4 linked regions of the Tamandua tetradactyla genome follow. The protein of the gene in region 2 purifies or fractionates together with the protein of the main gene of each other region. This does not show direct contact. Links are inferred from orthologs where the notes say so. Each region holds a gene or a part of one and is shown on either strand. Other genes may lie near its edges. The genes, in order: GLCCI1, DYRK1A, ANAPC4 and FAM117A.

Region 1 (7,790 bases), on a different chromosome or scaffold from region 2:
GACAGAAAGATTAGTTGTATAATTTTAATTTGGGTGGCCAGAGAGCAATGGGATATGGAGAAGTAGGATGGGGTAATTCAATCAGGGAACTGGGGACACAAGAGCTTGCATTCAAAATCACCTCAATGCAAGAAACTGACAAAACCACCTGGTGTTACAAACACAGAAAAACATCTCTAGCAGAGAAAGCCCTTTCATTCTCAACACAAGCTCTCTGGTGATGCAAATCTGTTTGCTGCACAACTAGACTCAGAAGAGTGTTTTCATCATAATTGCATTAAAATTGCATTAACTTAGATGTACCACACCACAACAAAGAGGGTATTTTAAGCCTGACCCCAAATTTCATTAAAACTATTTCATTAAAACTATTTAATGACAGAGCATTAATTTCTAAGCAATGAAGGTTTTTGAAGGATGTAGAAAAACAACTCGTACTATGGTCTGTTGTAAGATATTAGTGTTTATCAACATGAGGGGAGGAGGTACCAGTACTAGATGGCCATTATTGTTGAAGCAATGTCAAAACTACTCTTACTCTGTCCACAAAACCTCTGGACACAATCCGCAATGCTTACCTTAGTCGCTAAAATAAAATCCCTAAACTCAATATATACATTGTTGAAGCAAAATCACCAGAAATTTATGTAATTGCTGCCTTCTTTTCATTTTGTTACCTCTCATTTCAAACAGCTCTAGAAAATGTGCAAGAGTGTTGCATATGGCATCAATCTGTTAGAAAATGGTGGCCTTTTCTATAAAATACAGCCAAAGATGTGTGTTCAGTTGTGGTCATTATTAGGGCGATCACGTTGTTTTCATTCATTCATTCAGGATTTGCTGGAGGATGTCAGTTTCTGCAGCAGCTGGCTTGACCTAGGGGAGGAGTGGGGGAGCAAATTCCTCCTGGTGCATACAGATTACAGGATGTATTTCTTGGTGCTCATGTACACATCCCACTACACTTATATCCTATTCTAGTTCACGATCAAGTGGTCTGAAAACAAGTGCCTTAGCAAGAAGCTAATTACAGGTCTGAGATAGTAAAACAAAAACATTAGAACTGCAATCTATCATAACACAGAGAATCACTTTCTCCAACTCTAAGACCTTCACCAAGAAAACTCCATTAAAAACAATTCCACATACCACATAAACATTGTGCAGAGCTCAAAAGTGTTTCTCTTCCAGGAAGAGAATTTTTTTTTTCCACTCAGTATGATCTGCTCCTTTTACAGCGCAGCAGCAGCAGCATCTGTAGCTCTAGGCTGGTATCTAATAATATTAGCTACTCCACTCTACTTATGAGCTTTAAGTCCCTGTTTTGGCTAATCTTTCTTTTCTCCCCTAGGACTCAACTAGATCATGCACTGTGTCCCTAGACATAAACAAAACAAAACCAAAACAGAAAACGTTACGACAAGCCCACAGTATCCACCAGGTCACTATTATCTTTGACACCTAACAAAACAGAAACATGAGATTCTTGAACAGTTAAATGTACTTTTTAAAAGGACCTTTAAAAATTTACCATAAAAATCCTGAGTTGGGCATAAACTGTTTCCAGTACCGTACTGCTCTGATGCATACGACTATATAAAGTAGAGAACAGAGACGGGGGGGGGGAAAAAACAACCCAAATCCAAAACCTTTCAATTGCACAGTGAAAACTGCCCCTTCTACACGTACAGCAGAGATCCTTAGATAATAACTACCACCACCAACCCCTCCAAAAAGATAACATTTATCCCGATAGTTACAGGCACATTAGGAACTTGCAGGAAAGCACAAAGAGTCTGCAGAGATTACCACCACCGTATCGGCAGCTGCAGAGTTGTGTGCGTGTTTTTAAGTGTCTCTCGCCCGGCTCCTTCTTCCCCTGCTACAAACAGCAAACACGCGAGAAAGCTAGTCGGCTATTAAACTGAATAACCTTTCGATGCAGGACAATGATGGGGGAGAGAAAATCTGAGGGGCGGCAGGAGGGTCAAATAAAAGTTGCTTTTCAGTTCGCTCAACCAAGCCCCGCAGCAACCGCAGGGGGGTGAGATTCCCAAAGCCGCTTTCACACCTTCGATAATGCACTAGCAAAGAGAAGCCCGGAGAGGCTGAAGTTTCCACGGAGGGCACCGTCGGGGAGACGCAGCCCGGGAGGACGGGAGGGTTGGGCTCGCTACCTCTGCACACGGGCGAGCCGGGGCTCCGTCTCTCAGGTGAGCTGCTCCTCCGGCGGCTCTCAGGGGACCGTCTCGGGCGGACCTTGGCCCGCGGCGCCTGCTCGGTCGGGGCCGCAGCCGGCGGCGGCGTCGGGCTGGGCGGGCTGGGGCCGCGGGCCGCGCCGGGGCCCGGGAGGCTGCCCAGCGAAGCGGCGGCGGCAGGCGGGCGCGTGGGACTGTGCTGACCGCCCCGCAGGAGCTGATAGGGCACCGTGGCGCGGATGGGCTGCAGCAGCCGGCCGGCTCCCGCAGCCGGGGCGCAGCCCACGCCGCCGCCGCCCGCACCGTTCCCGCTCCCGGCGGGCGCGAGGGCGGGCGGGGAGCCCGCGGCGCTGCGCCGCATCCTCTGCGGCGGGGGATGAGGGGTCTGAGAGGAACTGGAGGAGGAGGAGGCAGTGGACATGGTGGCTCCGCGGGCCCTGGACGCCGCCGGCCGACACGGAGGCGCGGAACGGGAGGCGCGCAGCGGGAGGCGCGCGAGCGTGTGGGAGCCGGCGCGATGGTGCGTGCGAGTGTGTAAGGGGGTGGGGCGGGGGTATAGGGGAGGAGGAGGAGTCTCTCGGCTCCCTCTTCCCAACGCACACCCCCGCCGCCTCGGCGAGAGGGGGGAGGGGAAAGCTGCGAAAACAAACGTCCAAAGGCCCCAACCGCCCGGGAGAGCTCGGCGTGTGGCGGTCACGGCCGGAGCCGCGAGGACTCCGGAGCCGCCGCCGCCCAGAGCATCGCGGTGACAGAGGAGTGGGGCAACCGCCTAGACCACGCAGCTCTGGGGGCCGCTGGCAGTTTCCTCGGCCCCCGCGAAGCTGCACAAGGAAAAGAGCCCGGCAGCGGCACGGATAGCTTCTGGGGATGAGGATAGGGGGAAGGGCCTCACGGTGCCTATAGAACCGCGGAGCCACCGCAGACGCCACCACCTCTACCCGGTCCTCACCCCGAATAGCAACTAATACCCCCACATACACGCCGGGACCCCGCCCCCGACACCACCTCCCGGTGCTCTGGACCCGGCAGCTCCCGCAACGAGGGTTTCTATTGGCTCCGCTGCTCTCCATCAGAACGCAAGTGATTGGTTCTGGGCTAAGAGTGAAAGCAGCGCTCCCCAATGAAAATGGCGCCCCTGTCTTTGGGGCGGGGCGTGGGGGAGTGGAATCGTGAAGGGGGGCTAGGCGCCCAGGGAAGGACGTAAGAGTTGACAGTAATTGCGGTGAGAGCGAGATTTTGATTGGGCCGCCCTAGTGAAGTTGGTCCATGTGTGTCTTGCGCGTGCCCCATACCACAGGCAAGGGCACACCCGCAAGTAGCTTGTAAAGTGCTCCACCTTCCTGGGTTAAGGGAATTTTACTTTGCAAGTACACCTGTTCCGGTGGGATGATGTAGAGTTAAAACTAGAAGTAGCCATCCCTTCCCCTTTAATCTTAGTTTGGGTTTTCGTGGATAGTATACTAATCAAAGAATTTACCGTGCTTAATATAATTAATAAAGTAGTCTGGAGCAATGTCTGGCAGCTGGATTGAACAAAAGGCCTTTTATATAATTTTATAGCCCATCCTAACATTTGTAGTTATACATTAAAAAGAGATAATCAAATCTTATGCTCCCTGATGGCAACTCTTCGGAGGGGCGGGGGTCAACTAGGAATGTTACATCATTATACCATCATTAGGTATATTAATGAAGGGTACCCGTTGGCTCTCCCCAGAAGCAGATGGCCTCCTGGAAGGAATAAATACCAGGTTTAAATGTAACAATCCACTGTGGTAAATTCTGTTTTTATTCTGAAATGAATCTGAAGAGATGCAAGGATTTCAGATGACTATCAAAAACCCAAGTTTACCCCACAATAAACTTAGGCTTTAAACCTTAAGCAGAAACTATTTATTTAACAGTCTAAATCAGATACCTTCTCTTAATTTCCAAGAGGTAAAAAAAGAGAAATGGGACCCCAGATTGGTCTCCCAGTGTTTGTTCATACTGACAAGGTTCCTGTGATTTCAGGGACTATATACAGAGATCAGTTTCAAAGGAGACATCCTTCTCTGCTTCCGTGTGCCTCACATTAAAAAGCATACTTAGTTCTGTAAAAAAAAAAAAAAAAAGTGACAAAATCCAATAAAAATACAAAAATTACATACAGTACTTCATTCCATTATGACTAGAGATAGTTCCTCACTTTATCTTATATTAGAATAAGAGCTAACATTTATTAAACAGTCACCATGTGCCAGCAATACTTAAGATAAATGCTATTATTAGTCTCACTGTGTTCTCAGCTGAGGCAAAAAGTGGTTAAATGTCTTGCCCAGGATTACTCAGCCTAGCTCAAGAGTCCAGGAGTAAACCCTTTCTCTGCTCTAGTGCCTCCTAGCTTAAAGCCTTGGGGTACTTGATCAGTAGAATATTTACAACAGTCCACAAAATTCATCTCTGAGATAAGTTCCCTTAGTTCAAAGAAATTTTACAAATGAAAACAGCGCACTATTATTTTGCTTTCCAGAATACAGATACTTTATATATAGGGCAAAAACCTTACTCTTTCAAAATTGGTATTCATCTGACATGTCATTTTTTCATCTAAAAATCGATAATTCCTCATTAATTAGGAAATAGCAATCTTTCATGAGTAAAAAGAATGATAAATGGTTTCTCTCTGGTGAGTTTTTCAGAAAAAGAAAAACAAAAAATCTTGACAGACTAAAATATGTAAAGCTTTTTTAAAAGTACTGGTAAATTTCTACATGTTGATTTGATTACAGCATGGATTCATTATAGAAATGTCATCTCTGACCACTCCTAGATATAATTATGTAAAAACCACAAAATATTATATTACAATAGTTCTAAATTTACACCAAGCCACTGTCACAGTGATCAAAACCTGATTTGGATCTAAAAAAGACAACATATCTCGCCATATTTTGAGGTGTTATGTGTTTGTTCAAATCTTCCAGAGCCGCCTTAAATCAGAGATGTAAAACAAATATAAATGGATCACATGGAGACTTAGTATGATCTTAGAATACTATTTTCAGCTACTGGTAAGTCATCATGACCTATTTGGAAGTTCAATTACTTTCTCTTTCCTAAGGAAATCTTAGGCAGCTCTTAAACCTTTATGTCATTAAATAAGCACTGATATTCATGTTTATAGAATTTAGTCTTCAAACAATTCAGGTGGGCTAAACTAAACTAAACCCAGTGCTTCCTTTCAAATGTCCCCATTTGTTGAATTATATATTTTTCTCTTATTGAGAATGGGAATGGAGATCCAAGGATATATAAAAGCTTCAGAAAATGTTCTCAGTAAATTGGTAACACCCAGAAGCAAGTGTGGATTGCTGGGCTAGAATGATATTGTTATGCTTCTATATTATCTATGGGATTCATAGGTCCAGCGCAGATTATGCCTATTTGTTGAAAATAAGTGTAACTATCTTTGAAAATTCTATATGCGGCTTCATGTTAGTAATGACCTCTCTACTATGTTGTTAAGTTCTTACTAGAAGACAAAATTGAAAGCGTAATTTAGCACATGGGAAATACTTTTGTTCTTAGTAGCCCCATGCCTTGGCCATCTGTAGGACATGAATCCACCATTAGCTAACCTAAAATAAAACACTGTTATGGGGTGGGCCACAGTGGCTCAGCAGGCAGAGTTCTTGCCTGTCATGCCAGAGACCTGGGTTCAATTCCTGGTGCCTGCGAAAAAAAACACTATTATGTGTACTTTTTGGTTCAAATATGGCAGTGGACTATATTTTAGGTTAGATTATAATTTGGAATGATTGCCACAAATGATTAGTTTCCAGCCCCCGGCGGAGAGATGAGCAGACAAAGAACAGTCGAGCCTACAGACCTACCAAAGAAGGGGCTTAGATTCCATAGATGGAAACCTTCCTCTTCTGGTTCCACCCAGATTTGTCAAGCTGTGCATCAAGACTCAACCAAATCTAAGGGGCAACCTAGGCTGTCAGTATTAGCAATGAGGTCATGGCTGTGAGAGAACACTAAACAGATCTACACTGATGTTCATCTTAAGCTAATTAAACTCTTTTGTAGGTGATTCTTAATAACAACAACAACAAAAAAGCCTTGCTTGCATTTTTGTCCCTGGCAGATGGGTAAAGTAAAACTCCTTACTGCTTATGAGAGCTTACGTGCCCCGTTGCACTAGCTCTTCCCTTTGCCTGAATATCTGAAGGCCCTTGCCCCAGATATCCTTGTTCTTGTTCCCCATTTCCATTAGGTCCTTACTCAGTTGTCACCATCTTCTTGGTGAGAGCCTCTCTGGACACTCACTTTAAAATTGCAAGCCCCACCCCCCTTAGGCTTCCCCTACTCTGTATCCCACTTTATTTTTCTCCAGAGCACTTATCACCATCCAACCTATCATATATTGTCATTCCCCCCCACCCCCAACGTCTGTAAGCCAAGAAGGAAGGACTTATGTTTTGTAATTGCTGAATCTCCAGCACAGTCCTTGGTACATGGTAGACAATCAATATGTATTTATTCAAATGTGGTTGAAAGAGTAGCCAGTTTTAATCAGTATTTGTTCCATGAACTAAAAGTGGTGCTTTACATCAGAAAAAAAAAATCATATGATAATAACAGGTGTATTTCTGCTGCAATGGCCAAACCACAGAGTAGAAAAATGTTCACTGTGGCCACTGTAAATCATACAGATATTTACTGGCATTCAAAAAGAAAGGAGTATCCCATAATATGGTCCTTACACAGGCAAAGTGAAAGATATTAACCTTAGTGGCTCTTGGAGGCTCATGGAAAATGGAACTGGTAATGGAGAAAAGACAGTTGAAATTTACAGGGTAAAAAAGGACAACTGAAATTGACAGTGAATGACAGCTGGGGAAGATCAGTTAGGGAGTGACACCTGCTGACGGGTAGTGGGCTCTATCTCAAGAGGCCTGAGTAAAGGAACTGAAAAATAAATATTTAATTCAATAGGAAGGAAAAGTATATGTAACCGACGAAAATTTTGTTTTTATTTTTGTTTTATTTTTTTAAACGAAGTTCAGGAAAAGCAATAGAGATAGGAGATAATTTATTTGTAACTGGTAAGGTCATCAAAAGAGTAAATAAGCAGTCATTCCTCCAAGGATAGGAAACAGTGATAAGGACAATGGATTTTTCAATGTTCCCTCTCACAGCAATTCCAATTGCCAACTGTGATGCCAGCGGCATAACCCCTAAGCTGATACATAAGATTTTTGCCACTTAACTAAAAGACTATATTGCATAAAGTCAGCACATTTAAAGGTTGGAATCTTGAGGACCAAAGATTCTAAATACTCTAACTCATTCCACATTGTGACATTCCATTTATTTTAGTTCCAAACATAATGTTAACAATATATGAAAGCTGTAGTAGTTCTAGGAAGGTAGTATACTGGACTATCATAGTGTTTTCTTTTTAATTAGAGTTTAAAGTAATTAAAATGTGTCATGGATTAAGTTTCTCCTATGTGGCTGAATTTTGCTTTTTACTACACAAGTAAGTATGTTGAGAGACTGTTGTTAAAGTTTACTCAATTCATTAGCACCACTTGACAAGAG
Region 2 (8,286 bases):
ACTTTGTGAGGGCAAGTTGTGTCAGCATCAAGTTTCAGGTGACTATGTTTGAATTTTAATTTCTTTACTTCTTAATGGAAAATATACAAGTGCCTGTGGAGGTAAAAACATCAAAACACTCCTCAACGAAATTAACTCACAGTTTAAATTACCGATGAGTACAACAAAACTGTACAACTGGTAAAATGGGGGGGAGGGTGAAGAGCAGGTTCTTATAAAATCTCTTTCTGAAATTTTAAGGGTTTGCTGGTTTTGGATGGTTAGGGTTTTTTCCTAGGGGTAGGAGGGTTTTTAAAAAATATCTTTAGAAGAAATAGGAAAGCTCTTTGGGATAAGAGAAAAGCTAACACCAAAGCAAAGAAAAACTGATACACATCTTATCACATATATTGAGTCACAAATCTCTAAGCCTCCTCTTCTATTAATCTTAGGCAATTCCCTGCACACCCATAATAAAGTTATTTCTATCCAAATTTTCTTCCCATACCTATATACTTGCCAAACATAAACATGTGAAAACACCTCTGGGCAGTCTAAATTTCTAAGCTATTTCTTTAAAAAAAAAAAGGGTTTTCAAGTAATACCCAAAATTCAATGCAAATTAGCAATTTTTCTTTGTACAAGTACAAAATAAGCTATCTCGAATTTTGCTTTTGCAGTTAAATTATACAGACCACCTACGAAAAAACTAAGTAAATTTTGCAAATACTGGTTGTTACACTGACCACTACCCATCCCACGTGGTAGCTACAAATCATAAATAAATGCACTAACTATCCATAAGTAAATCTGAGGGACAGACATCAGACAATATTCTAGAGGGGAAAAAATTCTACCCAAGAATCTTTTTAACTATCCACATTTCCAAACAGGACATTGCAAATTAATAGATTTTTCCCACTTATTTTGAATGTTAGTGCCTCTTAACAGACTGCACTTTATTAATTTTTTAATTCCTAGGTCACAATAATTTTGTATGTTTACATTTCTAACAGGTCCCACCAAAAATTTTTTTAAATACATTTAAGAAACCATCTTATACCTAAATTTCAAATTCTTAATAAGATATCCTAAGATCCATTTCCCCTCTATCACTGGTTCTACCAATCAATGATGACCAGTCATCCATCCTACAACTCTATTCCTTCAAATCTAAACTCTTTTTTACATATCCACCAGGTGTTACAAACCCACCCTACAGACATGGATGAGACTAGAATTAATTTCTGGACTTATGTTTCTGTGAAATAAATGTGCGCTTTTACACCAGTTTTACACAGAACATGGTGTAGACATTCATAGCAGTTCTTCGTTTTCTGGGAAGGTTTGATGTCTAAACCATTTGGACAGCTACCATAAACACCACTGCTATTCCAAGGTAAATTCTCTAAGAATACTGGGGTAAGCCTAAGACATATGTACATTAAAAATCTTAACTATGACCAAGCAAACTTTTTTCTTAACTCCTGCTTCTCTGAAACTACCTTCTTGCGTTTTAAAACCTCAGCACATGGAATTTTAGTAGTTCCAGTCTCATGCTTATAATCTAATTTAAAATAATATTCTTTTAAAGTAAATGAACCATCAAGGTATAAGAAATCTAAGGAAACAAAAACTAAAGATAATTTTACTGAATTATTGAAATACTCCAAAATCAAAGAACTAAATATATTCATTTTTACTAACACTTGATATATGTAGAGTATAAAGTGTCATAGAGGAAATCTACATATTTAAAGATGAAATATGACTAAAAATAGCTACACAAAACTTTGAGTCATCAATACTTCAATGATGACTACAATTTGTATTGTCAAGAATACACACCAAAAAGTTTTCTTTCAATCCCTTCCATTCAAAAACTGACTACATGGTTTTCTTGCGGGGGGGGGGGGGGGGGGGGGGGGGGGGGAGTGGGGGAGGAGGTGGTGTGAGAGGGGAGCCTGACAAGTTTCATTAAGGAGGCCTCATCGCAACCCTTTCCTTCCACTTCCATAAACCAAAGTTAACTCTAAGCTGAACACTAGACTTAGACATGGACACAACCTCTAAGTTAGAACCCTGAGTCACTACACACAAACGGTTCCAAAATTCTCAAGTATTTATAATAACGAGTTTCATAAGGTAGTGGTTAAGGGCCCCAGCTCCTGCAGCCTCCCGGCTCTTCGTGTCCCCGCTGCCGTGTAACCTTGGAGGAGTCACTACCCGTCTCACGGCTCAAGGTCCTCATCTGTATAATGGGCAACCGTTCCTGCCAATGGGATCATTAATACACGTAAAGCGCCTGCCACTTCTTGGTCTTGAACTTTGGATACGTGTGAAAACCATGTGATAAAGTGTATTTTCTGATCCTTGGGCGAAATTAAGAACCAAGCCGTGCCGGTATTCGAGTGCCAGATTACAGGAGTCATATAATCTAGGGCTGGGTAAAAAACACAGATAAGTAGTCGGAGTCAAGCACTCACTAATTTTGCCATTTTTAACTACTGTCGAATAGGGAGGAGCGTCTTGCTAAGTGCTGAGGTATTCAGCAGCTTTGGTGAATACCAAGCGAGAGTGGATTTGGGTCTATAAATAGACTTGCGAAGTTTCGCCGTCTTAGCCAGGTATCAATTATAATTCACCCATCCCCAGTCACCAACTCCTCCAGCCGCTAAACAAGTCATTCCTTCCTCTCGAGTGGCCGGGATTATTACTTGCACTCCCCGCACAACTTCCGAGCAAGCCGAGCCCCCTCACTCGAGCTCAGACCCCCAAAGGGATGCCCCGGGATCCGGCTCCGACCTTCCCGGAGCCCAGCCTCGGCCCGGCCGCCCTCGTCTCAGCCCGCATTCGGCCCCATTTTCTTAACCGTGCATTGTCCTTGCCAAGAACCCCAGCGGTTCCCACACTGGTGGGGACCGAGAGGAGGGACGAGGGAGGAGCTGGGGGAAGAGGATGAGGAGGAAGAGGAGGAGGAGGAGGAAGACAACCTCCTCCCCTTCGCTCGGGCGGCCAGTGAAGGTCTGCGCTTTCTCTGGCCCCCAGGCCCCGGCTCCCCGGAGGCCGCGGCGCCCTCCTCCCGCCCTCCGCAACTTTCCCTCGGCTCGCACCCGCCTCTCCTCCGAGACCGGGCCTCTCGGCTCCCTCCCCCGGCGGCCGGGCCCGGGCCCGCGGCGCCGCTTCCTAAAATGGCAGGTCCCTCCCTCCACCCGGCCAACCTCGCTCGGCGCGGGCCCGGCTGCAGGCCGCGCAGGGAGCCGAGCGCCGGCCGGGCGGGGCCGCGGCCGGGCCGGACACTCACCGCGACGATGGCGGGGCGCTCGCGCCGCTCCCTCCGGTGAGTCTCAGCCTCGGGCTCCAGCCGCTTCGCTCCCGCCGCGGCCTCCGCCGCCAACGCCGCCCCGGCCGCTTCTCTCGGCCCCCGGCGCTCTCGGCTCCTCGCCCGCGCCGCAGCCTCCTCAGTCTCTCGCCGGCGCGCGGTTCCAGCGGCGCCCGGGGCCGGGGAGGCGACAGCCCCCTCCCGGCAAATACCGCAGTCCCCGGACCCCGGCTCCCGGGCGGCGGGGCCGCGCGGCCCGGCCCAGCGCTGAGGGCGGTGGCGATGAGGCCGGGCGCCCAGTCGCGGCCGCTCCCGGCTGCTTCTTCCCGAGGAGGATTTTGTAAATCTCACAAAATGGCGCGCGCTCCAAACCTGCGCAGCGAGAAGCGCCGGGGCCCGAGCGGCGGCGGCGGCGGCCGCGGCGGCTCCTCCGCCAGAAGAGCCCGAACCGCCCGCCCCCGAGTCCCGCACAGACAGACACACACACACACACACTCGCACACACACGCACGCACACTCGCCCTCGCACACGCTCGCTCGCACACACACTCTCACACTCACACCGGTCCCGCCCGCTCGCCGGCGGCGGCAGCGGCAGCGGCACCAACAGCAGCAGCAGGAACAGCAGCAGCAGAAGCGGCGGCGGCGGCACCCGCACCCCCCGCTCGGGGTGTCCGCTCCCTGCGCCCGACTTGGGCCGCGATCGGCAGCAGCAACAGCAGCAGTCTCCCCGGATCCCCCCGCCGCTGTTGCCGCCGCCACCCCCGCCTCACTCCAATGGGGCTTTTTATTATTATTCGGGCGGGAAGCGAAAGGGTTTAAAAAAAAACCAACCAACAAAATGGCGACGGACCGACCCGGTCGCTATAGCAACTGTCAATCAAAACGCAAAACCCCGGCTGACGTGCTGACGTCCTCCTCCCGCCCCCTGGCCCAAAACGGGCGGGCGGGGCCTGTTGCTCGGGTAACGGCAGATTCCGTTCCCTCCTTTCCCTCGCCCCCTCCATCCCGGACCAACCACCCAACCCCCTCAGGTCACGTGAAGGATAAATTCGGAGCTCGGGCCCGCTACGAGTGTCAGAGGAGGGCGCGTGATTCGCTCGCTCGGGGGAGGGGAGACCAGAGGAACGGACGGTCCAAGGGAGGGAAGGTGAGGGGGGAGCGAGGCAGAGGCCCGGCCTGTGCGCGAGCGCCCACTGCCTCCCTGGCCGCCCCGCCCTGCTCCCGCCGCGCCCGCGCCTACTGCGGCCCCAGGTGCGCGCGCGGCCTCCCGCTCGCGTCGCCACCGCCCCCGGAGCCCGGCGCTTCCGCATCGCGCGCCCGCAGCCCCGCCCGCGCGGGGCGGGGGAGGGGCGTGCGGGGGGCGGGGCTCTGCGGGCGCCCGGCGGGGCCCGGGAGCCCGCCGCTTCCCCCGGGCCGCACGCGCGGACGATGCACCCTCCCTGCTAGTCCGGGGTTCTTTCGGTGGCCTGGGCGCACACGTCCGTGGGTTGAAACTGTTCTTCGAAGGACTCACGTCTCCCCTTCGCCGGAAAATGCCCGCGGAGGCCGCGATGGGGCTGGGCATCTCCGGAATTCCGGCCGCTTCCCCGGAACCAGGGATGCCCCTACGGCTGGCACCTCAATTCAGTCCTACCGCTTGGTTTTTGTAGAAACTACTGCCACCGTCCAATAGTTACGAGTGCAGCCCCCCCATAAAAATTTGTTAAGGCTGTGCACCCTCCTTCATGGTTTCCCACCTGTTTCAAACCTTCCCGTACCCTCCCCACCTATCTGGGCACAGCCTTCCTTCTCATTCGGAATTCCCCTTAAATTAATCCTCTCGGGCTATTATTACTGTATCCTTGTCGTAAGTCCAACTCTCTGGTTTTCTTTTTGATGTATCTTCTCAGCTTCCGGGTTCTTGATTTGGCCACTTGTTCTGAACAATCAAAACTCTTTATTACTCTTCCAGCTTTCATTTAATTTTGTTCTGACTACTCTTTCTGTCTGGCTAAATGTTGCTGGGGGTGCTCCCCAAGCATTAAAACTGAGGCACGCTATGCTGGTTACTGTATTCCACAGCCACAGAGTGAAAACTGTAATCTGTACAAATCCAAATTAATAGTACCTACCTGTTAAATTTAAAAGCGTATATGTGTGTGGGTGGGTGTGTATATACTACACCAAAAGGCACTGATCTATTGATTTTTTTTTCTAAGCTTGGTTTCCCTATCTTTTAGTGCCCACAAGTACAGTATCAACAAATAGAATCTTATGAACAATTTTAGGTATAAGGAAAAACATTCTTATAATAAATATTGCTCCCTGTCCTATGTGACTCAAAGAAAGATGCTTGTTTTTAATGTTTTTCTACAAATGTTTCCTTTCTACAGTTAGGAGAATATTGATATACCGAGGCAATGGAACTACTCATCCAACTCCTTCCTCTGTCGGCATTCACCATGGTTTCACTTTTGTCAGAACACTCAAGCATTTACAATCTTTAACACTAAACTAAAGTCAAGTCAAGCTTTTATTGCTGTTTATGGAGGAAACCTGCATAATTAATTTTCTTGGTAACCCTGAAAGAATAGGCAAAGTCTCAGGCACTGTGTTCTTGTCTTTAGTCGAGGCAATCTAGAAGATTATCAGAGTGAGGCAGAATCTTGATTTTATAGACAAGCAGAAATAGAAGGTATTGCTGATCTTCATATCCAGAAGGCAACACCTTTTTCCCCCCAATATTGTGATCAACCTTACACAACATTGATTAACGAACTGTTGTGTCAGGTTGAATGCTGTAAAGTGGTTTTAAATAAGCTTTGCCTGTAAATTATAGCTGGCTCCAAACAGGTAAACACATGTAGACAGAAAGGACTCTGGCATAGATGCCAGTTTGGTGTTGATCAGGTTCGGTGATCAAATCCTTGCTGTCATCTGAGACTCCTAGACGGATCCACTTACCAGATGTGTCTTTTCGTAGAAGTTAACCAATAAAAACGAAGATCATAACCTAAAAAGCAAAGGTAATAAAAGCTTCTATTTACCGAGCACATTCTATGATATCTCTAATCCTCACAGCAAATTTTATCCCCATTTTATGGATGAGAAAACAAATCTGAGTAATGAAGTAACTTTCCTAGAGTCACAAACCAGTACATGATGAGGCCAGGATTCAAGCCCAGATGTAACTGCAAAGCTCAGGTTCTTTCCACTACACCAAGATGATTTCTGTTAAAATTCAAGTGCCAATATCTAAGAAATTCAGAATTTTTCTTCTGCCACTTCTTCTTATGTGTTTCCTATGATGTAAAGAGCTCTGGATATTTATTTCCTCAAGGTTGGAATTAGTGCCATCGCCACCTGACTCCAGATAAAAATACTAAATGGAATTGATACTTATTCCCAAGGAGTCTGTATGACAGCACAGAACAGTGACAACCTTATTAGAAATATGTGGAAAGAAAAACTTCACCTCTGCTGGTTGTTTGTTCAACTTTTCTCATCTCAGACTCGAACTGTTAATTGAGAAAAACTCACAGCAAACAAATCTGTTCTTAAGTTAATATGGTAGATTCATTCATTCATTCAGCAGTCATTTAATCATTTACTGAGTGCCTACCCAGGGTCTGGCGCTCACTGACCAGGTGCCCACCTTCCAGGGGTTGGCACTGTGCTAAGGAATACAGATAAAACTGAGATGCAGTGCCCATGTCACCAGATCGGCGCCAAGATGGTGGGTTCTTTTGGTTGGTCCACACACGATTGGGGACCACTTTTTGTGGCTCATGACACTGAGCTCAAAGGTTCAGTAATTGGACCCCTGCTAGGAGTTATGGCCTAAACTTTCCAAGAATAAGCAAGCTTACTAGTATTCCTAGCTCTGCTCCTCACACCAGGTGAGAAGGTGAAGGGCTCACAAGTCCTCCCTGGACAGCGGCATGGTCCAGAATCTGTCACCACTACTGTTTTTTGACCTCACAGTGAAGGTTCTTTATTGCTCCCTTTTTCCAAGCTTTAAGGTTTGTCCTGATTTGAAAAGTAGTGCATGTACATCAGATTAAAATGAAACAAAATAAATTAAAACACAAAGGGGGACCTCACTGATATGAAATAATTAGAATAAACAAACTCATAGAGTCAGAATCTAGAATATAGGTTACCAGGGCATGGGGTGGAATAAGGAGTTAATCCATTTCTATTTGGGTTGATCATAAAATTTTGGTACTGGAGAGTGGTGATGTTCACGCAACAACATGAATGTAATTAAGAACACAGAATTGTATATGTGAATGTGGTTAAAGGGATAAATTTTGAGCTGTATATATGTTACTAGAATAATAAAAAAAAAACCAAAGGACTATACAACACAAAACAGTGAACACTATTGTAAATGATTGACTATAGTTAATAGCACAATTATAAAAATGTTCTTTTATGAATTGTAACCAATGTCTCAGACTAATGCAAGGTGTTAATAATAAGGTGCTATATAAGAACTCTGTATTTTATGCATATTTTCTGGAGTAAACCTATAACTTCTCTAATGAAAAAGAGGGGGCCTGATATAAACTGACAACGGTTTCAGTGTGCTATGAACCAAGAAGTTAAATTTCAATTCACTACATCAGAAGTTCAAAAATATTAAAATAAAAGTAAAAATGCCACTACAGAAAGTTTTTTGTTTGTTTGTTTGTTTGTTTGCATGGGCAGGCACCAGATTCCCGGGTCTCCAGCATGGCAGTTGAGAATTCTGCCTGCTGAGCCACTGTGGACCAACCCAGAAAGTTTTACGATACAGAAAACAATATAGAAATAAAGATCACTCACAACCACCCCCCTCCTGCCTAGAGGTAAATCTTACTAATCTCTTCATGTTGGCCTATAACCTTCCAGGCATTTTTAGTGAAACACATGTGCATACACACACACAACATATATAGAACACGCACACGTGTTATGAACACTTTCTTATGTTGATTAAAATTTAGATAATTATTTTA
Region 3 (7,688 bases), on a different chromosome or scaffold from region 2:
ACGACCACCACGAGCGCCACCTACTGGGCAGGAAAAGAAAAACAGAGCCCAGAGATGCCACAGAAAAACCTTTCAACCAGCTGGGTCCCACACCCAGGGAGATCTGATCAAATGCCCAGACACCAGCAGAAAATAATGGATGACGCTCGGAAAATTGAAGATATGGCCCAATCAAAGGAACAAACCAATAGTTCAAATGAGATACAGGAGCTGAGACAACTAATGCTGAATATACGAACAGAAATGGAAAAACTCTTCAAAAACCAAATCAATAAATTGAGGGAGGACATGAAGAAGATATGGGCTGAACAAAAAGAAGAAATAGAAAATCTGAAAAAACAAATCACAGAACTTGTGGGAGTGAAGGACAAAGAAGAAAAAATGGAAAAAACAATGGATACCTACAATGGTAGATCTAAAGAGACAGAAGCTACAATTAGTGAACTGGAGGATGGAACAACTGAATTCCAAAAAGAAACAGAAACTATAGGGAAAAGAATGGAAAAACTTGAGCAGGGAATCAGGGAACTGAATGACAATATGAAGCGCACAAATATACGTGTTGTGGGTGTCCCAGAAGGAGAAGAGAAGGGAAAAGGAGGAGAAAAACTAATGGAAGAAATTATCACTGAAAATTTCCCAACTCTTATGAAAGACCTAAATATACAGATCCAAGAAGTGCAGCGCACCCCAAAGAGAATAGACCCAAATAGGCGTTCTCCAAGACATTTACTAGTTAGAATGTCAGAGGTCAAAGAGAAAGAGAGGATCTTGAAAGCAGCAAGAGAAAAACAATCTGTCACATACAAGGGAAACCCAATAAGACTATGTGTAGATTTCTCAGCAGAAACCATGGAAGCTAGAAGACAGTGGGATGATATATTTAAATCACTAAAAGAGAAAAACTGCCAACCAAGACTCCTATATCCAGCAAAATTGTCCTTCAAAAATGAAGGAGAAATTAAAACATTTATAGACAAAAAGTCACTGAGAGAATTTGTGACCAAGAGACCAGCTCTGCAAGAAATACTAAAGGGAGCACTAGAGTCAGATACGAAAAGACAGAAGAGAGAGGTATGGAGTAAAGTGTAGAAAGAAGGAAAATCAGATATGATATATATAATACAAAAGCCAAAATGGTAGAGGAAAATATTACCCAAACAGTAATAACACTAAAAGTTAATGGACTGAATTTCCCAATCAAAAGACATAGAATGGCAGAATGGATTACGACCCAGCAATACCACTGCTAGGTATCTACTCAAAGGACTTAAGGGCAAAGACACAGACGGACATTTGCACACCAGTGTTTATAGCAGCATTATCTACAACTTCAAAGAGATGGAAACAGCCAAAATGCCCATCAACAGACGAGTGGCTAAACAAACTGTGGCGTATACCTACGATGGAATATTATGCAGCTTTAAGACAGACTAAACTTATGAAGCATGTAATAACATAGATGGACCTAGAGAACATTATGCTGAGTGAGTCTAGCCAAAAACTAAAGGACAAATACTGTATGGTCCCACTGATGTGAACCGACATTTGAGAATCAGCTTGGACTATATCATTGGTAACAGAGACCAGCAGGAGTTAGAAACAGGGTAAGATAATGGGTAATTGGAGCTGAAGGGATACAGACTGTGTAACAGGACTAGATACAAAAACTCAAAAATGGACAGCACAATAATACCTAAGTGTAATGTAACTAGGTTGGAACACTGAATGAAGCTGCACCTGAAATATGGTTTTTTGTTTGTTTGTTTGTGTGTTTGTATCTTTTGTTTTTGTTTTTTTCTTTTTCCTTTTTATATATATATATATTAGTATTATTATTTTAATTCTCTTCTCTATATTAACATTCTATATCTTTTTCTGCTGTTTTGCTAGTTTTTCCTAAATCGATGCAAATGTACTAAGAAATGATGATCATACATCTATGTGATGATACTAAGAATTACTGAGTGCATGTGTAGAATGGAATGATTTCTAAATGTTGTGTTAATTTCTTTTCTTTTTTTTGATTAATAAAAAAATTAAAAAAAAAAAAAAATTACAAGACCACTAAACTCATGGATCAGCCCACTTGCCTTGTCAGCTTTTTCATACCTCTCCTTTCACTCAAGCTTCCAGTATTTTTTTTTTCTTCATCAGCTTTCTTAGATTATTCCCTCAACAGGAAAATGAAAACAAGTGCCTACTCATCTGATTGCACTGATGCCCCTATTCTCTACTTTCCTCCCTATTGCTGAGGCTGAACTATCTGTAGCTTATCTACTCCCATCTAGAACCGTCACAAAGTTACAAAGCACCCTGGCAGAAAAAAGACTAGAAGATTTCACGGAGGGGCAAGAAATCTAAGGACATATTTCATCTTCTGGTACAATTATCAGTACCCTGGTAGCGGGGTTATGGCAGGCAACAAGGTGAAAGAGTTCTGTATACTGCTAACCTTACCTTAACATCTATCTTTGAAACTCGGGCGCACACACCGCTCAAGGTCTGACAACTATCAGGAAAACTGTCAGGAGGCCAAAGGAGGGAAGATGCACCAGTGAAGGTTTCTTTACAGAATGGCTCTGCGGTCAATATGAAATCTCGGCAAAAAGTTGTATACATTCTGTTTATACATGTAGGGTAATGTAATATGAACTAGAAATGCTTATCAGTAAGTCACTGCACGTTCTGGTAGAAATCCTGCGAAGCATGTCTCCCTTGTTCAATTTAAATGTATTTAGCAATGAAACCACAGTTTAAAACTTGGACAGCAGAATGAAAATCCTTAAACCTGTAGTATCTGACAGTTACGTGTATGTTGATTTTCAGCGAACTCACAGTAATAACTCATTTTTCTTTTGCTACTAAACTGTAAGCAAACTTAGGGTAGAGTCTGTGCATCTTCCACTATTCTCGCTCAGTGAATGAAGACCATTTGGGGATGCAGAATTGTGTTAAGCTATGTGAAAATGGACCCACAAATATTATTAATTTTCGCGCATATGGCCCTTTGCACTCTCTCTAATAGCTGCGGTCATGGGAGTGAGAGGCGGGGAAGTCAGGTACCCTGCCCTGTCCACAGAAAAGGAAACTGAGGCTCGGGCAGTGGGTGACCCGCACCAACAGGGGGTCAGCCCTGCCCCAGACGGGCTCCACGCCGGTTCACTTACCTCGCCCGTCGTATTGGCCAGAGCAATGAGATCCCGCTTGGGAGACCAGACTAGGAAAATGATCTCCTGCGGCAGCTGCTTCTCGCCCACCACCCGGAAGGATGGGAAACAGGTCGGAAAACGCAACATGGGGGCCGCCCTGCAAAGACACCCTAGTTGGAGGCCGGTAGCATCCCCTCCGCCGGCCCAGGGAGCCCCCGCCGCCCTGTCCCGGCCGGACACGGCGCCGCCTCCGACCCCGCGATCTCCGACAGGGCGGTACCTGCGAGGGTCCCCTCGGCGGCCCAGGCGATCCAGGCGGTACAGACCGCCCCAGCAGCCTCCCTCCCTCCCTCCGTCGGCCGCGCGCAGGAGCCTCCGGGCCGTCCGGGTGCGCGCTTCGGCACTTCCGGCGCCGGGACTTCCGCGCTAGAAAACGGAGCTGGCGCGCGGCTGGGTGGGGGCAGGCGGGATCGGGGGTTCGGGGTCGGTGGGCTGGGGGCGGCGAGCGCGGGGCATTCGGGAGCGCTGGGCCAGGAGGCGGCGAGCGGGACGCATGGGGCTCGTCCTTATGGCCGCCTGCCCGCCTGCCTCTCCCGTTTTCCCGGAAATTTGCTTCTGCCAGCGAAGGGACAGTCCAGAGGTTAAGGCTGAGGCCTCAGAGATGATAGGGAGAGAAAAAGGCATGTGAATTCCGGGACCTGGTCAGCCGCCTTTGACAGCCTCTAAACAAGTGGTCTTCAGTTACAACGTGGGATCATCTGGAGAGGTTTTAAAATCCTGCCCATGCAGCGCTCCACACGAATTCAAGGAAAATCAGTACCGTGTGGCAGCCATCAGGTAGTAAGGATGGCTTACTGACTTTACTATAACTCCGTAGGTGATTACAACTTGAAGCCAAGGCGGGGACTCTAAACCCTCCTTCAGATGGGGATATAATGCCTTGAGTCCTTATCCTACATAAACCTCACTACATATTGGTAGTACTAGCCCCATCATATGAGAATGCGGAGTGTGGGCTCATCCAAGACTTAGCCTGTAGCTATTTGAGCATTTCCTATGTTCAAGAATCTGGGGCTACAGAGACGTATTGGACATGACTGTTCAAAAGGCTCTGTTCAAAATGCTCATAGGCCAGTCTGGCAGAGAACATGTAAATGCTGACCCTTCTGACTGCCCTTTATAAATGACATATTTAAATGTGTCAATCCATTCAACAGTTTCCTGAGCCGTGACTCGGGCTTACAGGATGTCACCATGACATCCTATGACTATGGTAGAAAGGCCTCCAGGTTTCACTTTTTACTTGTTCAATGGAAAAAAGGTGGCAGGACCTTCAGTTTTCAAGCTCTGTCATCTTGTACTCTCTCTGATCTAGCCCCTGGGAAGTAGGTGACAGATATAGATTAATTCATTCAGAGACAAATATTCAAGAAGCTGTTTTTGTGCCAAGTGCTGTTCTTAACTCTTGATGTTTACCTGGAACTTACACTGAATAAGAACCCTCATACAGCACATTATAAAAAGGATTGAAGGACAGGACAGTGTTAACTAGTTGTACACTAAGAAATTTTAGAAGAGATTAGAATGAATTTTCTAGAAAGAAGGTATTAAAGTTCAGGAAACAGGATAGCTTTGGAGTTCCATATGTGGTGAAATAACAGCAAATAGTTTTATATCCTCGTGTGTGTTGGTGGGGAGTAGGGAGCAGGGATTGTTGTTACTGGAAATGATCCTAAATAGGGAAAGGAAAAAAAACTATTAACACGCATGTGTTTTTAGCTTTTCCTTACTACCTGATGAAGAAGGTTCTTTGCTTTACCAGCTCCTTTCTTTACCTTCTCCATCTTTTGTGTAAGAACTGCTTTGCCAAACCTGCTCATTTGTGCTTTTGTAACAGAAAATCAAGAAGAAACGGGGAGAAAGTAGTTCATGGATCATACGCTATTTAAGGAAACAAGGCAGGAGATATTTATGTGGGAAAAGTGGGGAAAAGTGAAGTAAATGGAAAATAGGCAGATTTTAAGCATTTCTGCGCTCTGTATATTCTCTCCCTAAGTGTTTCTTTTTAAAATGCAAGAAAGAACTAACTTTTTTGAAATACCTCTTTGACTAGCTAGATTGATTTTCAATCGCCATACTCTTTGGTCTAGATTGTACTATTATAACAGTGAGGAGCCAGATTTGGAAAGGCCAGAGAGCTACCAACAGAGATTTCTGGGGGGTGAAGTCTATGTTAAGGTGGGAGTGTGGCATAAAAATCAATCCATCATGGCCAGCAGGCAACTGAAAAATCAGGTTTGAAAGTGAAAGGTCAGGACCTGAGAAAAGGTTTGAGATTCCCTCTTCTGTGTACAAAATGGAAGATGGAATTGTGGGATGTACCTATACAGGCCATATGAAGAGCTATTATTTTGAGGCCTGTTTTGAAGTCATAAAATGGTTGAAACACAAAACAAGCAAATTGAATGTGAATTTGCAGGAAAGAGAAAAGGATGTAAATGGGTGGTGTTGGAACCTCTCTGCTCTACCACAGTTGCATCCATTCGGCAACAAAAAAACGTGACTCAAAGTTGAACAGGCAATAACAAGAAAGTTGTGGTTAATGTAAATTAAAAGTCCAGCAGGAGGGCAGAATTCAGGCCAAACTAGATCCAGCATTCAGTCTCATCAGGAACCCAGCTACCTTGTCTGCCTTCTACAGGGTTTATATCATCATGAGGCTGGCTCCCCATGTGGTCACAGAAGACCGCAACTGGAGCTGTATGCTACCTCTTTCAGACCAGGAGAATGAACGCCTCCTCTACCAACCATAAGACAAAGATGTTGGACTTCATTATGATTAGACCAACCCCTATTAGCAGCCTAGCCAGAAATCACCCACTGGGAAAGGTGAGGGAATTATGCTGATTGATGGAGCCCAATAAAAAGGTTCCCCCCCCCCCCGCCTGCCCCCAGAGACCAGGAGAATACAGTCATTCCTCCCCCAACTCCCATGGCAGGTCTACAGTGGAGCACGCAATGGGAAGGTCTGTATGATGCTGCTGAAGCCATCGACACTGCGCAATACAACAATCAATCATGATAGTTAAGGGGTAGCTTTAAGTAGGAAGAACATTTGGGACATGATGTCTTGGCAAAATGAGTCTAAATTGGATTGCTGGGGTTTTTGTTGTTGCCCATGACTGTTTTGGTTGCTTTTCTGGGAAAGATATTCATACTAACTCATGGGAACTATTTTTCCAATTTGAAAAAAAGTTCTAATAAGAATTACAAGTCCAGTATTCGTATGTATAGGAATTTATCCTGAGGAAGTAGAGACTGGAATATAAGGAAGCTTATCATAGGATTATTTACAATCATGAAAAACTGTAAACAACTCAGGTTGTTTACTATGGGAGACTGACTTAAGAGTAGGTTGCAAATAATATGTATTTACAGTTCCGTTTTTGTTGGAGGAAATTTAGAGTGGGTCTACCTATTTAACTATTTATGCAAGATTCTGTGTTTGGAAGAGTACATGCCAAAGTTGTAACAGTGGTTATCTGTGAGAGGTAGAATTAGAGATGATTTTAATTTTCTTTGATATACTTGGATCATGTATCAATTCTAAAGATATTAAGCAGGAACCTTTGTTTCCTTTTATCCTCTTTAAACCTGAGGAATGTTTGGGCTGATTTTCCCTAGTTTGCTCCCATTCCTTGCCTTCACATTTGTAGATAAAGAAACAGAGGCCCACCGATTCAGACTGCTTCTTAGAGCTCACTGGATATTATCTAACCTGCCTCATCTAACCTGCATGCTATTAAAAACAAAACAGTTTTGAGAATTTTGTGGCTGTCCAACCAATAGGATAAAACTCACTGCTCACAGCTCTGAGATCTGCTTTCTCACTTTTGGTCTTGCTGAGTTTAACATTCACACTAAATAGCCTTCCAAACAACAGAAATCTCCTTTTCACAGTCGAGCTTCTTAGCTGACCCTGAATTATTTTAAGCCATGTCCTAATGCCCCAATTAAAATAGCATCAAATGCATGCAATTGGATTTTCTTTTGCGTTTTGTGGAAGCTTTCTTTACCTGATAGCTTTTCATGTAGCAGTTAGGGTTTTGAGGCATCATGCAGTTTATAAAAGGGATTTCCATCCACTCAATCCATAAAGAACATTGACCACTTGGAGGGCATTGTCTTGTTGCGAAGAAATGCCTTAGCCTATCTGCCCTACTCCCATGGTTATTGGGAGGAGGAGCTGAGAGCATATGTGATGCACCTGGTTGTCTCCTGATATCACTGTGTGCAAGGCCCAGGGCTGAGGAGTCACAGTGAACACACACGATGATGTCCACAAGGCCCCTGCCACTAACAACAAGCTTCTAATTTGCTCAGAGGTAAAAAAAGTACTCAAAGTTATTCCAATATAGGGCATGATTTAAGTACCTTAAAGAAGTATAAACTGGGGGTCCAAGGGTAGTTAAGTGGTAGAATTCTTGCTTGCCATGCGGGAGACCCGGGTTCAATTCCTGGTTCATGCACCTACCC
Region 4 (8,529 bases), on a different chromosome or scaffold from region 2:
GACATTTATCCTGAGTTCTTTGCTTTCTTAGAGTTGACCTTCATTTTTCTCTCCACTCTCTTCAGGCTTACTCATCCCTAGGCCAGGCTCATAAAAATGAACCCATTCCCACTTTACGAAACATCCCTTATGGTTGAATGGCCGCAGAAGGTAAATCCTGCTCTTTACACCATAATCCTTTTTACAAGGTCTAATATATCTTGTCAAGTGCACAGCAGGGTGTGTGGCAGGGAGATAACTGCACAGCCCTGAGCGTTACATCACTTTTGAGATGGGAAACAGAAACAGTGACGACACTTAATTGTTCCTGAAACCTAGTCCCAGCTCCCATGCCTTTTTAAACAACTGGGTTTCAGAGCCCCGTTCAGAAAGCTAATTTTAAAAGATGAGGGAATATAAGTGCAAGCGAAATTCTGAAACCTGCAGTACTGGTTTCAGACCAATCTGGGTTTGCTCTTTGAAGCCTGAAAAGGCAATGGGCTCTGGCCAACAGTGCTCTCACCTTGGTTTGGGGGAGGGAATAATAACAATATAAGCAGCAGCAAACACTTTTATAGCACCCTCTATGTGCCAAGCACTGTTCTAAGCACAATATATCTATTAACTTGTTTGATTCTTATGATGAAGGTATTATCCACATTTCACAATGAGGAAAATGAGGCATACTTCCTCAAGGCCACACTGCTAGTGTATGGCAGAACCTGGATTAAAAAAAAACCCAGGCATTCTCATTCCCAGCTCTGTGCTCTGAAGGGTTTATTAAAGAAAGAGGCTTTCATCTATCACATATATCCTACTGGCATAAAAGAAACCACCCCTGACAGTTCTCAGTGCCAACAAATGAAAACAGACTACATACACATAAAGATTTAAGTTAACACGTAGAAGGCCTGATGTGCCCCTAAACCAAAGTCCAGGAACATTCTCGTGTCTGGTCACAAATAAATCCACAAGCTCAGACTACTATTTCTATTCTTCCTCTCACCTGTCTCACTGAAATCTACAGATAATCCCACTATCCACCAGGCAAGCACCTTATTAACACCTCTGGGATATTAATATGTGGAGACATTATAAATCAGGCCCACCTATAAGCAAGAATCCACCCAACTTGGCCCTAAATCATCTGACAAGTTATGCAGAGCTCAAGTTTCCTGTTTTTACCAGTATCTTAGGGCACCTGGTTCTGTAAAAGGAGCAGGCCACTAAAGAACCCAGGCATCCAAGCCTGCACTCCTGCTTTCACAGCATTTACCAGTTTACCCTTTAAATATTAGTTCTATAGTAGACACACACAAAAACTGCTGTTAAAATGATTGCTAGTAGATTTCCAGCTACTACACAGGTAGGCTTTCTGTTGATTTCTACTAAAAGTGATTAAGGTTCTGGTGCTTGCTGTTCCACTAACTTCCCTGAGCTCAAAAGGAACCCAAACAAAACCAACAGGTTTGTAGTCTTGTGGTTTGCTTTACAGCTCATGATAGGCATAAGTTTGTCTGGGCATTGCCTTGCTCTACACCACGGGATTCTACACATACTTTTACTACTCGGTCACCATCTTGCTACCAGATTTGACCAAGTTTCTGCATTCCCTGATATGATGCTAACATTTATAGTAAGGTCCAGATAGGCTTGTAGACTTTCCGCCTCCAAGACCCTCTTAACCCCATTCTTACCTAGCAATGCACTGTAGCAGATATGTTTTCAGGAGGGGGATGTGCAGTAAGTAAGTTTAGTAATCACAACAATCTCAGGCGACTCTGGTTTAGAGAATGCCATTAACTGTTTGATGGCAGAGGCGATGACTTCTGTACATTTAGTACAGACTCTGAGGTTTTGTAAGTGTGCAATGATCTTTTCACATCTGGTGTGAATCAAATGCAAGCCTCACTTTCAACTTATTGCCAACCTCCTCATGCAAGTAGGTTTCTTTTCCTTTTCCAAACTGCCTGTATTTGTGGGACCCGTCATGGCTTTGAGTGTGAAAGCAAGGTTAAGTTGGCTCCTCCCGAGTTTCCTCACACCTACCACACCAAGCTGCTATTAAGATACCACTTCAGTGCTGTTCAGAAAGTAGGGTATTTGCCACGGTGCACTAATGGGAGCCCTCACCCCACTGCCACGTTGGCTGGCAATGCTCAGAACAATACAACCTTGGTGGGGGGAGGAAGGAAAGGCAGGGGGCAAACTGTCTGTGTCCTATACACATACACACACACACACACACACACACACACACACACACACACACGGGATGGTTGGAATGAACAATCATACTAAGCAGTCGATGATCTGGGGAACATACAACTTCTGGGCTACAGCGAGAGGAATGCAGGGAATCGGGAGCGGAGCGTTCGCATCGCAGTAAAAGCCGTTAAACTTATTCCAACCGCTCAGACGAAATCGGCTCCAGAAGGTGGCATAAAGGAAAACGCACGTGAAGTAGCGGGGAGAAGAACTCCAGAGCTGTAAAGTGGGATGCTGGGGCCAAACTTAAGTCGGAGAAGTAACACATGGCTCCACGGGGCTCTCCTCCATGCCCCTCCCCCTCGCCGTGCAGGCGCCCAGCGCCCACCGGCGGCTCGCTCCCAGCGCCAGCCCTCCCGACAGGGCGCCCCCATCACGCGTCGCTCCTTCCCCACACCTCGCCCCCACTCTCGGCATCTACCACTCACCCCCACACGACACTTCTGCCCACTTTTCAGTTACGCCCCCAAAGCCAACCTCCATCTGTCAGGTCCCTCACCTCACCTCCCGGCCCCGACTCCCTGCACGCTGGGTCCCAACAGTGAGCCCCACCGTCACGGCTCCTCGCTCTCGCTCCCTCCGCCCTCGTAGATTCTGCACCCTCTTTTCTCTCCTTCGCCCCCATCCACTTCTCACGCACCCTCCGCTCTCGTCACGCGCCCCCTCCCCCAACGGCTCCTCCCCCGTACCCGCTCCAGGCCCGGCTCACCTGCGCGGCCACCCCCGTCCCGGCGCTGGTGCGGCTGTTGCAGCTGGAAGGGGACCGTGGCCCTGAGTGGCTGCAGCCCAGCCCGGGAAGAGCCGGCGGGGGCTGGGGGAGAGCAGCCCCGCCGGAGCCCCCCAGTCCCTCCGCGCCCCGGCCCCCAGGCACCTCCGCCTCTGCCGCCCGCTGCGGCCCCCGCCATTGCCCACCCGCCAGACAGCCTGCCTGCCTCAGCCCCACAGCGAACCCCACACAGCCCCCCAACCCCCGCTGCCGCTACTTATCTGTCCTACGGGGCGGGGCCCGGCCCCCTCTTCTCAGAACTTTCATTGGCTTACGGATCCCCAGACCTCCCTCCCGACCAATCCGCGGATGGCTCTTCCCTTTTCTGAGGATGATTGGTTTCAGAACTTAGCGATCCCGCCCCTACCCCCAACATCCAGTCTGCTTGCCTACGGCCGAGAGGCTGCTGATTGGTCAACCCCGAAGAGGGCTAGTTCTCCCGCGCAGCCAATGAGAAAACGCAGAAAGGGGCAGCGTTACACCCAGCCCCAGGTAGTATGCAAATACGATGTCGCGTGACGTCAACTGTGCCAGAGGCGGGGCGGGCGTAGGTTGCAATCAGGCTCTAGCTGGTGAAATCGTTATAGGGGGTGAGGGGATGTCAAACTTTTAGGCAATTGAGTCCGGGCAGCACTGAGAAAGCGCTAACTTCAAAAAGCATTATATTTGATTTAACCTAAAAACGTTATTATTCAACCCTTATAGGATCTCAGTGCTTGCTTGCAATCTCCAAACTAAGATTCTACAAATGAATGCAAAGTTTGCACAGTATTTGCATACAATTTGCATAACATTCGTTCACTTAATGGCTCCCGTGCCTCATGTGACACCCACATTTGTCCTTCCCCACGTTTCCAAGTTCTTATTTGGTGTTGGTCCAACCTGAAACAGCTGCTAGCCTACAAATTAAATTGGAACTCTGAAAAGGAGCAGGGAATTTCCCTTCAGGGTCGTCTGTTCCAAGTCTAGCTCAGCAGAGTGGAAGGAATAAAGTGACTGTGGAACTTGCCTAAGTTTCCACAGAGACCTCATTAGCAAATCCTAGTCTTCCCAATTAAATACTGTCATCTAAGTCAAAATGAGACTGGGTGGTCCCCCCAAAAAGGAATGCATGCAGATGTGAAAAACCACATGCTATAATATATATGAAGGAATTTGGGAAAGAAAACAACATTTATTAAGTGCTATTAAAAATTACTACTCTGTATTTATCAGTCATTTTATTCTATATATGGAAAAAGCAGAGGCAATCAACTCTGGGTAGTCTGTGTTAAGGGACCATCCAAATAATTGGATAATTCCCTCCAGATTTATATTTAGCTGTGAATTCTAATTTTGATCTTGCCACCAATTTATCTTTCTATTTCTGTTTTTGCCCAGTTTAATGTTAAAAGTGAAGGTATCCCTGAAGACAGTAACTAATCAGAGAAAAGGAGATAAACTGGGGGAGTGCTGTGTGGTAAGGGGAAGTCATTCTGGAATTAAATATTGAAAGCAGATAATATACAATGTGGAAACTCAAGAGTGGCTGAATATTAAATTCAGCCTACATACACAGAACAAATGAAGGCAATGGAATCTCCTGAGGAAGGGTTATCCTTGCAAAGAGTGCAGTCACACATTTGAAGGATTTACTTTAAGATTTGACATTCAAAGTTTTTTTTGACTGGAGAAATGCTGAACTCCTTTTCCATGAGGGGGACAAAGGCAGGGAGGAATGAACAAAAGCTGATAAACTGATGAAAGCTCAGACTTTATAAACCCTGTTTGTTTTTTTAAAATTCTTGCATTTATATTGTTCCTCAATTCCAAATAGATTAAAGTCTTCACATACTATTTTTTTAATCCTCATGACAATCTGGAAGAGGGAAAACATGAATTCTTGCCCTGATACAGATGGGGCAACTGAGGCCCAGAGAGATGAATCCTTTTGATTCCTTGTCAGATCTCTATCCACTGTTGGGTCACCCTACATCACATCTTCATTATAAAATCTGTAATGATAGCAGCTAACATTCACTGGGTTCCTTTCTCCATACCAGCTACATGTTAAGCATGGTGCGGTGTGAATATTTGGTGTGAGATAGATATTACCACCTCTTCATTGAGGCTTGAAAGAGAAGTAACAGTTCCAAGGTTACCTAGGCAGCCTGACTCCAGAACCTGAGCTACTAATCTCTATGCTTGTAAAACTTTCTTACAAACACAGAAGGATTACTAGAGTCTCCAAAGATGCAAATCTGGCTGTGATATTAAATTTAGTTAACATTTGTCTAGGGCTTTCTAGCTTTCACATACACCATCTCATTTAATTATCTCAATAGGCACAAAAGGTGAGAATGCTGATTTTTTTGTACCCATTTTATAGAAGGCTAAGGCACAGAGGTTGGATGACCTGCCCAAGATTATCCAGTTCAGAATTTATATCCAAGTCTCCTGACTCAAGAAAACACTCAACTTCTACATCATTGGGCCTGCCTGAGGACAAAAGGGTAGGCCAGTACGTCTCTTCTTATCTGACATTTTACACCATTTTATGACTCCTCTACCTGTAAATTCTTGGGCAGTTTTCAGTTGACGGTGGGTAGTTTTTATTGGTTGAACCACAAAGTATATGCTAGAGGTAAAAGAACTGGGATGATGGATCTTGAGACATTTTGGGTGAGTGGCTTCATCTCTCTTTGCCAGGATCATCCGTTATATCAATCTCACAGAGTTGTTCTAAAGATAAAATGAAATATTATGGTACAGATGAATTTTTCCTTTGCAGAGAAGAGTAATATGGGTGGTTCCAAGGACATGAGGTTCAAACCTCTGCTCCAAAGCCAAGGTGCCAGGAATCAAGGAGCTGGACAGGGGAGGAAAAGTCAATGGAGTGGCATAGCTGATGACCTGGATCTTCTGAGTCCAGACAGTCATGGTGTTTCCTGATAAATAAGGGGCTGGCAAAAGACAGTAAGTTGGCCCCAACTGGAGGAGTGAGAGGGTAGACATGCCTAAGAGAACCCAGTCCTCTCCTTACCAGGTATCATACCCAACCAGCTGTCTCTTATTCCCTTCTCTAGAACTGATAGCTTCTCCTGGCATGGACATGATGGGTAAGTTAGGACTATATCTGAAGATCAACCCATGTCTGTTTCCTCCAGTGAAAAAAGCCACGGCTTTGTGAAGATTATGTGCTGCTAAGGGGAGATGTCATGCTTTACAAAGTATCTCCTAACCTGCAAGAAAACTTTTGTCACTGTCCCACAGTCATCCTACCAATATCATCATCATTAATTAATCCACTCATCACAAATTCGTTTAAGTGCCCATTACATGCGAGACACTGAGCTAGGAACTAGGTAATGGCAATAATATTCAGCAACATGGTCCCTGCCCTAGGGTTCATAGCTAACAAACCTTGAAAGCTGGAGACAGAAGTGGCACTGGGCTAGGTGGTATTCCAATTGAGAGACATGACGTGATTCCTGCTTTCAGGGTTTTCAGGTCTGAGGCAGGCACTGAAACACATGAAGAGTGGAATATTACATAGACCAAATATATCAATAAATTGTTTTCATTTTTGGAGAATGATTTGCCTTATAGAGTTTCAATAGCAAGCGCTCAGTCCCGATCCCAGCCTACTCTTGGAATGTTCCCAACTGTCACAAATAAATGATGACTCAGAGAATATGAGTTATTTTTCCTACTTGTGTGAGTCAGAGGTATGGCTAGTCCCCAACCAATCCTTCTAAGGCTTGGGACCTTAAAAGCTGCAAGAGTCCAAGGGGCTACCAAGGACAAAAAGCTGTGGGAAATTTTGGCAGATCAGAGGATCAGCACGGAGGCCTTGTGCTGCTGGCTACTGGATGAAGAGAAGGCTTGGGTTATCACAGCCAAAGAAAGCTTTCTAGTTTTGAAGACTCTTTCTAGTTCTGCAGCTCCTTGATCCTCCACACCACATGCCCATTTATGCCCCAATAACCAACAAGTATGGGAGTTCCAAATCACCACTTTTACCCTTCAAAATATCTTACCCAGTAGCAATTGTTCAACAGAAAACAGAGAAATCTTGATATTTCTTGGTACTTGGGGGATCATCTCCAAACTAGCTGGTAAATGTCTAAGTGCTTACATCTCTGCCCCCCTTTCCCCAGTTCAAAAATAATAAAGCAGAAAATAAGATGATGCAGACACATAGTGTCTCCTTCTGACCTCCCTCCTTTAACTCAGCCTCTGTCTGAAATGTCAGGCCCAGCTCCTCAGGGAATGAGATCCTGAGAAAATGGGGTCAGAACTGAAGGAGCAGAGCAGCCTGAGAGGGATTGGGAAGGAGGGTTGAGGGAATGAATGAGGTTATGGGAACAGAGTAGGGAGGGGTCCTATCCTGCAGCATCTCTTCCTACCCTGGTAGCCTCCCTCCCCTGTACCCCTTCCTTCTTACTCCCAGGGTAACCAGATGTCCTGGATTTTGACCTTCGATTCTTTCTCTGACACAGTTTGTCCCATGCTGTGGCCCACCACTTTCTGTCTTCATTCCCAGTTATCTCATTTATTTGTTCTCCTTCATTCCAACTGAATGACATTCACTCCTTAACTCTACTTTTGCTTTCTATAGGAATCAAATTTTCTGCTAAATTGCAGCCTTAAAAAAAATTTATTGAGGTGAAATTCATATAACATAAAAGTTACCATTTAAAGTGAACAATTCAGTGACATTAAGTACAGCCACAATTCATACAACCACCACCTCTATCTGGTTCCAAAACAATTCCATCACTCCAAAGTAAGACCCCACACTCATTAAGTAGTTTCTCCCTATTTTCCCCTCATACCAGCTCCTAGCAATCAGCAATCTGCTTCTGTCTCTATGGATTTATCCATTCTGGATATTTCATATGAATGGAATCATACAATATGTGATGTTTGTCCTGATATTCTAGCAAGCAGTGGGGACAACCAAATCAATAGGCCGAGCCCTCAATCTTGAGGTTTGTTCATATTAAACTTATCCCTGCAAAGGATAAGTTACAATTACAATTGTGCTACTTACAATTGTACTACTTACAATTAGGCCTAAGAGTCACCCCCAGAAAACCTCTTTTGTTGCTCAGATGTGGCCTCTCAGCCAACAGGACAAGCAAACTCACTGCCCTCCCCTTCTCTATGTGGGACATGACTCCCAGGGGTGTAGACCTTCCTTGCAACGTGGGACAGAAATCCTAAAATGAGCTGGACTCAGCATCAAGGGACTGAGAAGATCTTCTCGACTGAAAGGCAGAAGACAGAAATGAGACAAAATTAAGTGTCAGTGGCTGAGAGATTCCAGAGTTGAGAGGTTATCCTGGAGGCTATTCTTATGCATTACATAGATACCCCATTTTTAGTTTAAGGTGTATAGAGAGGCTAGAGAGAAGTGCCTGAAACTGTAGAGCAGTGTTCCAGTAGCCATATTTCTTGAAGATGATTGTATATTGATATAACTTTTGCAAAGTGACTGTGTGATGTGAAAACCTTGTTCTGTGCTCCTTTTA

Evidence for each region.
Region 1: the proteins of DYRK1A (region 2) and GLCCI1 purify together in Homo sapiens (affinity purification with mass spectrometry; 8 studies listed by BioGRID and IntAct, with this or other methods). This does not show direct contact. The link is inferred for Tamandua tetradactyla from reciprocal best matches to the Homo sapiens genes DYRK1A and GLCCI1.
Region 3: the proteins of DYRK1A (region 2) and ANAPC4 purify together in Homo sapiens (affinity purification with mass spectrometry; 3 studies listed by BioGRID and IntAct, with this or other methods). This does not show direct contact. The link is inferred for Tamandua tetradactyla from reciprocal best matches to the Homo sapiens genes DYRK1A and ANAPC4.
Region 4: the proteins of DYRK1A (region 2) and FAM117A purify together in Homo sapiens (affinity purification with mass spectrometry; 4 studies listed by BioGRID and IntAct, with this or other methods). This does not show direct contact. The link is inferred for Tamandua tetradactyla from reciprocal best matches to the Homo sapiens genes DYRK1A and FAM117A.

Annotation. Positions count from the first base shown.
Region 1 is NC_135327.1:116,945,974-116,953,763, forward strand, and holds the start of GLCCI1 (glucocorticoid-induced transcript 1 protein), read right to left. Parts: upstream 3,219-7,790; 5' UTR 2,620-3,218; coding exon 2,178-2,619; intron 1-2,177.
Region 2 is NC_135336.1:104,635,627-104,643,912, forward strand, and holds the start of DYRK1A (dual specificity tyrosine-phosphorylation-regulated kinase 1A), read right to left. Parts: upstream 3,395-8,286; 5' UTR 3,284-3,394; intron 1-3,283. UniProt on the Homo sapiens protein: Dual-specificity kinase which possesses both serine/threonine and tyrosine kinase activities. Exhibits a substrate preference for proline at position P+1 and arginine at position P-3.
Region 3 is NC_135345.1:25,466,626-25,474,313, reverse strand, and holds the start of ANAPC4 (anaphase-promoting complex subunit 4), read right to left. Parts: upstream 3,528-7,688; 5' UTR 3,433-3,527; intron 3,310-3,432; 5' UTR 3,300-3,309; coding exon 3,171-3,299; intron 1-3,170. UniProt on the Homo sapiens protein: Component of the anaphase promoting complex/cyclosome (APC/C), a cell cycle-regulated E3 ubiquitin ligase that controls progression through mitosis and the G1 phase of the cell cycle.
Region 4 is NC_135332.1:30,938,727-30,947,255, forward strand, and holds the start of FAM117A (protein FAM117A), read right to left. Parts: upstream 3,213-8,529; 5' UTR 3,153-3,212; coding exon 2,957-3,152; intron 2,888-2,956; exon of another isoform or gene 2,873-2,887; coding exon of another isoform or gene 2,752-2,872; intron 1-2,751.